Neodiprion lecontei: one gene and its partner. The protein of the gene in region 1 purifies or fractionates together with the protein of each later gene. This does not show direct contact. Links are inferred from orthologs where the notes say so. Each region holds a gene or a part of one and is shown in the gene's direction. Other genes may lie near its edges. The genes, in order: cytoplasmic FMR1-interacting protein and probable protein BRICK1-B.

What was found.
Region 2: the proteins of cytoplasmic FMR1-interacting protein (region 1) and probable protein BRICK1-B purify together in Drosophila melanogaster (affinity purification with western blotting; 4 studies listed by BioGRID). This does not show direct contact. The link is inferred for Neodiprion lecontei from reciprocal best matches to the Drosophila melanogaster genes Cyfip and HSPC300.

The regions. Positions count from the first base shown.
Region 1 is NC_060265.1:7,521,743-7,526,754, reverse strand, and holds the start of cytoplasmic FMR1-interacting protein, read left to right. Parts: upstream 1-1,953; 5' UTR 1,954-2,047; intron 2,048-2,425; 5' UTR 2,426-2,444; coding exon 2,445-2,654; intron 2,655-2,735; coding exon 2,736-2,915; intron 2,916-3,021; coding exon 3,022-3,203; intron 3,204-3,311; coding exon 3,312-3,836; intron 3,837-3,940; coding exon 3,941-4,145; intron 4,146-4,270; coding exon 4,271-4,616; intron 4,617-4,717; coding exon 4,718-4,888; intron 4,889-5,006; coding exon 5,007-5,012. UniProt on the Drosophila melanogaster protein: Plays a role in guidance and morphology of central and peripheral axons and in synaptic morphology. Also required for formation of cell membrane protrusions and for bristle development.
Region 2 is NC_060264.1:4,294,279-4,298,027, forward strand, and holds probable protein BRICK1-B, read left to right. Parts: upstream 1-1,848; 5' UTR 1,849-1,985; coding exon 1,986-2,106; intron 2,107-2,418; coding exon 2,419-2,501; intron 2,502-2,855; coding exon 2,856-2,882; 3' UTR 2,883-2,952; downstream 2,953-3,749. Other genes in the region: transmembrane and coiled-coil domain-containing protein 4, read right to left, coding at 1-121, 252-384, 511-522, 992-1,291, 1,399-1,462; uncharacterized protein LOC107227299, read right to left, coding at 3,135-3,364, 3,597-3,749.

The DNA.
Region 1 (5,012 bases):
CCAAATTCAAGCCACTATATCTAATATTTTTAGTCGAAAACCATATCACCTAAGCAGAATCACTTTTATAATATTACAGTTTTCAGTAGTGACAGCGTGATCGTTACTAAAAAATCTACTTTGATGTACCTATTAACGATTCTTGCCATTTATCGCGATATTTTTCGACCATATCTGGGGAATGTAACGCAAATATAGAACAGTTTTTGTTGATTTTATTCGGAATAAATTTTCAGGAAAATTTTTTGTTGTGCATTGCAACGAAAATCATTCAGAACCTAATTAACAATTATCCGTCTACATACACTTATAGAAGATAATGTGTACGTACAACTTTGAAAGCATGCTGCTGGTTCGTTTGATTTCGTTTATTTTGTTTCCACGCACGTGCAAGGGGTGTGAGATATATTGTTCCAACACTGTTTGTTGTTATTCAAATATTTGTACTTATAGTTTGCAGAGTGTACTAGGTTTTGTCTATAGTTGATAATAATAGTTTTTTAGCCATTAATTGTGTGATGTGTGAATAGAGGCCGATGGTACGCATTATAAACCGCTATTAACACTAGACAGTATATAGAAAAAATATCCAGAAGTGCAACGGATCGAACTATATGACAACCATCACGAATGTAATTAATTACGAAAGTTTGAAACATGAACACGTGTCTGTATGTCTCATATTTTGAACTACTGATCATAGTAGTTTTATAAAAAAAAAAAAAACAGTTTATCGTGTGGGTATCAATTCTGAGATACCAGCAGTAGAGCTAAACAAGGTACATTGGTGAAATTTTGATTCTATCTGTGTACCAGTTGGTGATTGCGTAGCAATGTTCATTGAGTAGTTGAAAACCAAACAAGAAAGTTATATTTAGTAAAGCAAGAATAAACACACGTGGCCAAGATAATCTAATAGATCCTAAAAATGAGACTTAGTCGTTGAGTTTGAACATTACAATTAAAAGAGATTCAATGCTTTTTTTAGATACATGAAAATTGTAGGGCATATGTCTACGATATTGATTGGGCAATTCATGAGTCTATGAGCATCATGACCTGTGGTGTGTGAAATTTGAAAAACATGGTCTTAGTTTTAAATTTACTTTGATGATATCAAAGCCATATTTTTGGAACGCTTTTATCTCTCGCATTTTATTATTATAATTACACACATGTAACGTTTCTCAATGTGATATTATTAAGGTTGCACATTTTAATAGTAATTAATTACTGAATTCATTTATTATTGATTTGAATATACGTTTATTTCTAATTTTCTCTACTCCTAATTTATTACTTTTGATTCTTTTAATTTTCACGCTATTGGAAAATATTCTCACTTTTTAATTTACCTCATCATTTAATATGCGCACACAATTTCATATTAATTTGATAACTGCAGTACACATATATATTTATATAGCGAGTTGTAGATAACAAATTTGGAGATATCCCTGAACATTGTAGATTCTATTAATTTCAACTTTTCTTTTATATTATTATTTCAACGTAATTGTTATTGCTATTTAATTTGTTGGTGCGAGAATGAATGAATAGTCAATAGAATTCTCTATCGAAACCGAGCCAGGTAAAAAAAAAAATGAAAAAATATGTGCAATTTTTTGAAAATTGTAAAATTATATTGTCATCCATATTGTAAATTATTTGTAATATAGAATAGAGGTTTATTATTATACATATAGATCTAATTATCCGTCTAAAAGACTTTCGAATAAATTTTAAAATTTACCCAACTCTAGGTTCTGGTTTATCAATTTCCTCCTTCCCGTGCCATATTTATCATTAGCTGTATTTCAATACTCACCAACGGTCCGTGTAGAACTGCTTCCTGCTGCTCTGTTTAAATTACATTTCACCATGCAGCTACGCGTGGGCCTTTTTTTCTCAGGGTTTGGTAGGAATGATAAATTCCCATGGAACAATGACTTTTCCCAGAAGTCTCTTGAGTACTCTTTACCTTGGGGTGGAGTTGTCGGGTGACGTTTGTTGTCAATTTTTTCAACTGTGACAAATTATTGTGAAGGTATGTCTTATGAATAAAATTCGTGAAATATTAAATAAAAAATTTCACATACCTGACACTGGCTTGTCTTTAATCACGTTAACCAAATGATTATTTCCCACTTTCATTTCCTTGTTTGATTACTCATCTTATAAATATAACCTCGACAACAAAGAGGACATTTACTGATCTTCCCAAGAGTAAACAGAGCTCGTCTGTTAAATAATTCGAGTGTATTTCAAACTTGCTATTAAAAAATACAATAATCTCTACGTTCTACCTAAATTTTATGTAGTCTACTTTTCCGAAATTGTATGTGCGCAATCTTTAGCTGCAATCTTTACACATATTAAATCCTTCGATTTGACGCTTTACACCTATTTTATAATTCAATTTTAGACTATAGCAAAACACAGCAATGGCTACCGATAAGGTAACATTGGCTGATGCTTTATCAAATGTCGATGTACTCGACGAATTTACCCTGCCTGATGAGCAGCCTTGCATTGAAGCCCAACCGTGCTCCGTTGTTTATCAAGCTAATTTTGATACAAATTTTGAAGATAGAAATGGGTTTGTCACTGGTATTGCCAAGTACATTGAAGAGGCAACTGTACACGCTAGTTTGGTAAATTTATTCAGTTCACATTATGATCAACCCTATAATAGTTGGATAATTACTGTTATTTTCTTTATTTTTTACCTACAGAACGAACTACTCGAAGAAGGTCTAGAGCATGCGGTAATGTTATATACCTGGAGATGTTGTTCTCGAGCAATTCCTCAACCAAAATCCAATGAGCAGCCAAATCGTGTTGAAATATATGAGAAAACAGTTGAGGTCTTAGCACCTGAAGTGAACAAGTTGCTGAACTTTATGTATTTTCAAGTGGGTGATTTTTTATCCTAACTAAAATACAGAAGCTACAAATTTAATATACATCATAAATGAAAATGGAAAATAGTTATAATCATATTTCTCTTTGTTAAATCAGAGAAAAGCTATTGAAAGGTTTTCTGCTGAAGTTAAGCGCTTGTGTCACCATGAGAAGCGAAAGGATTTTGTCTCTGAAGCATACCTACTAACTCTTGGAAAATTCATTAATATGTTTGCTGTTCTCGATGAATTAAAAAATATGAAATCGAGTGTTAAGAATGATTATTCAACGTACAGAAGGTATGGGTATATATACTTTAAGCAAAAGTAAACAGTTAAAAGTTGAGAACAATCTCTAATCAATATTAACAATTTATTTGTATCACCAACTACATTATTTTATTTCAGAGCTGCTCAGTTTTTGAAAGTAATGACTGATTCGCAAACTCTTCAAGAGTCTCAGAATTTGTCATTGTTTCTGGCAACGCAAAATAAAATTCGTGACACCGTAAAAGAAAATCTAGAGAAAATTGCTGGGTATGAAGAGCTTCTAGCAGATGTAGTTAATATTTGTGTACACATGTTCGAAACGAAGATGTATTTAACACCAAATGAAAAGCACATGCTTGTTAAGGTCATGGGCTTTGGGTTATTTCTGATGGACAGTGACTTGTGTAACATTAATAAGTTGGATCAAAAAAAGAAGTTGAAACTAGACAGGATTGATAGAATATTTAAAAACTTGGAGGTCGTACCACTGTTTGGAGATATGCAAATTGCTCCCTTCAATTACATCAAACGGTCGAAGCACTTCGACTCTTCAAAGTGGCCACTTTCATCTTCTTCTAACAGTATGAGTCCACAAGCAGATCTTATGGTACACCTTCCTCAAATCAGAGAAGATCACGTCAAATACATCAGCGAATTGGCGAGGTATTACTCATAATATCAACACTGAACGTACACGATTATTCAATTTTGGAAAGTCTTCATACTTACGTTTGTATTTATAATAATCCATTTAACTTTCTGTTCAGGTACAGTAATGAAGTAACAACAACGTATAAGGAGTGTGGAAGTGATGGGGAAAATAGAGAAACAGCTGAATTGGCATTGCGAGGATTACAACTGTTATCGCAGTGGACCAGCGTTGTTACAGAACTGTATAGCTGGAAATTACTTCATCCTACGGACCATCACATGAATAAAGAATGTCCGCAAGAAGCTGAAGAGTATGAACGGGTTGGTAAAGTTCTAAAATTAAATTGATAATATGTTTCACATTCTTAGCCAACCGTCGTATTAATAATTAATCGACTACCTGCAATCCAAGCAAGGTCAATGAATAACAAGTTCAATTTCTGTAGGCAACCCGATACAATTACACAGATGAAGAAAAGTTTGCTCTGATTGAAGTTATAGCTATGATCAAGGGCCTGCAAGTTCTGATGGCTCGCATGGAAACTGTCTTTATCGATGCTATACGCAGAAACATTTACGCTGAACTACAGGACTTTGTACAATTGATTTTAAGAGAACCACTCAGAAAGGCTACCAAGAATAAAAAAGATTTGATTCGAAGTATAATTGTATCGGTCCGAGAGACTTGTGCAGATTGGCAAAAAGGCGTTGAACCTGTAGCGGACCCAGCTTTAAAGGGCAAAAAAGATCCAGACAATGGTTTTGTCATTAAAGTTCCAAGAAGAAATGTTGGTAAGTTTGGTTCACACATTTTTTTGCAATTATAAATATTACTAAGATATTGATTCGTGGCCATTGTACACATAATGAGATTTATTCCGAATTGTTTGAAGGTCCATCATCGACTCAATTGTACATGGTACGTACGATGTTGGAGTCACTAATTGCAGATAAGAGCGGAGGTAAGAGAACGCTGAGAAAGGATATAGATGGGCAATATCTCGTGCAGATCGATCAATTTCATAAAACAAGTTTTTACTGGAATTACTTGCTTAGTTTTAGCGGTAAGTCACTCGTATGTACAACTGTATGTACACGCTGTATCATTTCATATTTTGAACTACAAAACGTATATTGTTATCATTTTACCTTTTTACTGTCAATTAATAACTCTTATTCCAGAGTCAT
Region 2 (3,749 bases), on another chromosome or scaffold:
TGCGGCTAAACCTCCGGTTAAACCTAACAATGTTCCACCTCCTATTGTGGCTAAGCCAATCGCTGCGTATCTCTTGATTCTACGTATTTTATCACGTCGTTCAGTCTCATGTTGCTCTGCCCTGTATTGAATATCAAAAATAATTATGAGACCCAATTTTATATGACAAGGATTACTATCGCAGAGGCAAAAAGTGTGTAAAAGAAAACAAAAAGTACATTAAGCAATGATTCAAAATATTATGTACATACTCTGTTTGTTCGCTTTGACTCTCATTCAACAATCTGACCAGGGAATGCTCATAGAATTCAATTAATTCAAATGGGACATTTAATAGTTCGGATACTCGTCTGATAAGTACTCTTTGTCTAGAATCATATTCACCTGGATTGAAAAAGTACATCAAATGAATCCATTGATATTGTATTTTGTGAAATCATCTACTACTAACTACACACATATAAATATATATATGTATATCAGTGCTTGTAATATTTTTAAGATTATTACCTGACACAATCCCTGAAGAAAATGTAAGAATACAAAAAAGTGATATGAAATATCGGTTTTCATAAACTGGTCGCATCAGAATGGTAGAAAAAATTTTATCATATTGTAAAAATGTTAAAATTTATGATGAAAGTGAACATAATGAGTGTAAATGATACCTACAATTTTACAATATCTGTGTGAATCGGTTTTTATTTTGCCTTCTCGCAAGATATGATTGAGCAACTCTATGCATGTGAAACACAGATTCAAAATTCATCTCGTCTGTACCCAAAACCCCTGCCAATTTTTCTCCTGGTAAGAATATTGTTAGGAACTTGTGTACAATTGATTACTCTGCTGTTAATTGTTCCATTTACTAAATGTATGGATGAAAGATTTTAGTTTGTGGTATATTACTTTTCAATCTTTTATAAATGGGTAACTGAATACGTAATGGCTGATGTATGAATATTGCATTGAAAAGTAAAAATTTATTCACCATTACGCACAGCCAGTAATACCAAATCCTGTACAACTAAAATTGTTTTGCCTTTTAAATTGGGTTCTTCCATAAGCAAAGCAATATAAGGCTCCTGGGACTGCTCGCTTTTTCCCTCGCTAAGATACATCATTACAGGTTCGTTTTTTTCATTCATTTTCAAATGCTGACAGATCATTTTCATGCATAAATTATTGTAGGCATGATCGCTGGGATCTGAGAACAACTCCGCCAAAGTTAGCGCACATATAGCTCCATATGCGTATAATCCAGCTTCTGATATGTCCAATTCTTTTATACCTGTAATATAAATCATCGTTAATTACATCTATGCTATTTTATAAGAAAGGATTAATTTTCATTGATCAACCAGTGTACAAGTATATATTATGAGTCGAAAAACTTACCTTTCTTTTCAGCCGACGTCTGTTGTTTCAATTTTGAATCCGGACAGCTGTCTTTAGATGACATTTTATCAACTGTGTATCAGACGTCGTGCGTTATTAAAAAATTTTATAGATATCGTTTACAAATTGTGCACACGATTCACCATCGACGCTCTTAATCAGTAGACACACAATATATCACGCTATTGACGGAAATGAAAATTCCACATTTACTGCAATCCAGCAACAGCGTTGGGAAGTTTAACCTAACCTAGAAATACGCTCTCAGGGAAAAATAAAAATACTTGTGAAAATACTATTTGTCACATGAGCGTATATGTTTTATACAAATCACGGTACTGTATAAAATAATTGAAGCCGGTATTTTCATTCGCTAATATCCGAAATCATGCAGTTTTTCCTCATTCATGTTTCAAGTGTCACTTGTGACACTTGTGACGTACGTGAAATTATCAGCAGAAATTCATGCGCACTTTAGTCTTGCGCCGGTTTTACGAACCTACGATCGCTCAAGGGATGGTCAGATTAGGTCCTGACAGCAACAGTGAGTAAGACGCGAAACTGAGGTTTGTGTAAAGCCCTAAATAATGGCTGCAATTCACCGAGAGGCAATACAGAAGCAAATCCAACAGGATTGGGCAAATCGCGAATACATCGAAGTTATAACTGGAAGTATTAAAAAAATCACCGACTTCCTTAATTCATTCGGTATGAATTAACTTTTCACTTTATCCTTAGGTTATGTTCACTTCATTCCGCTGCTCAGTGTTTATTACAGTTAATAAAAACTAAACACTCGTGTGTCAATTATCCAAGCCTAGATTAAGTATTATGATTTTCAGTCACACTTCAATATCTAATTATAAACATTTTTGCTCCTTCGGAGTTGTATCTTTTTCTCACGAAGGATCAATCATTGTCCAACTCATGATAGAAATCATTTCTGAAGTTACCGAATGTAGAGAGTGAGGATATTTACAATCCGGAAGCTGCTTTATTCAATATCTTCATTGTTTACAGATATGTCATGCAGGTCACGACTGGCTGTTTTAAATGAAAAACTAACAACATTAGAACGTCGCATAGAATACCTTGAAGCATGTGTAAGTTACAATTTATAGATGCTAGCTCAAAATCAGCTCAGTGTTATAAATGCCATTGAAAATTACATTAAAATTTTACCTCAGATAAAACCATCTAGTGAAAATATCTCAGGATAAGCTTTAAGAACAGCTTAGAATGATAATTTTTTTAATGTCAGAATTGAACTATCGACTGTTTTTTCGTATGTTAATCAAATACGAATGACTCATTAGACTTGTTACGGCATTGTAAGTGTGCTGAAAATTCCAATGAGTATTCTGAATGATGTACTAAATTCGAAAATGAGTTACTACCTACACACTTTTCAGAAAATTATCAGACTACAATCTAACAGTCGTTTTTTGCCTTTTCAGGTAACTAAAGGAGAAACCTTGACATAACATGACATATATGTATATAAACGTATAATTTAAATTAAATATCAATAATAATAATAATAATAATAATTTACGCATAGAAACTTTCACCTCTTTAATATGTATGTACAATAAATAATGTAAACTATTTGAACCGAATAACTGTATTTATACGTTTTTTTATATACATCCTCTCATGCGACAATAGCAAATGCATGATGACGTACAACCATATTAAGGTAACACTATTTTTGGAAAATGTGCTTGATTTTTTAATCAAGCCCCAGTCGTCCAACCTTTCTCTCCAACAGGAAACAAACTGGAGTCATGATGAGGACTTCTGTGATTTCCGTAAATTCGCTGTACGTTATTAAGATCACCCATAACGTATCCTTTAGTGAATCCATCTTTTCTAACGCAACAAAATGCCCCGGTCATTACAGCAAGGGGCCATATAAAGATAGGAGCCTTAAACATGTAACCCAAGAGACTTCCGGCTGCCATACCTTTGACATAGGATAGATGAGTTGCATGGGATGTAAGAAAAGTGCAATTTTATAAAATTTTCTATTTTATGACGAAAGACATGTAATGTGATTTTATAATAATTGGTCAAGGAAGCTTTATAATACAGTGAGATTTTGCTTATAATAGTATTGTAAACATTTACTTTTTCTGTACAACTTTCCACATAAAGAGGTGGCGTACAAACTGTGATATTATACGTTTTCTACTTACCTCCTATCAAGCTATTGATGGGGTCATCTTTGTTTCGAAGACTTGTAGCGGCATAGGTTATCGCCGTATAAGTTGTAAACGCAGATACAATAGGTATGTTGATGTACGCAGCTCGATTAAGTCCTTCCAGGATAGTTTTCGGGTTCGAGTACA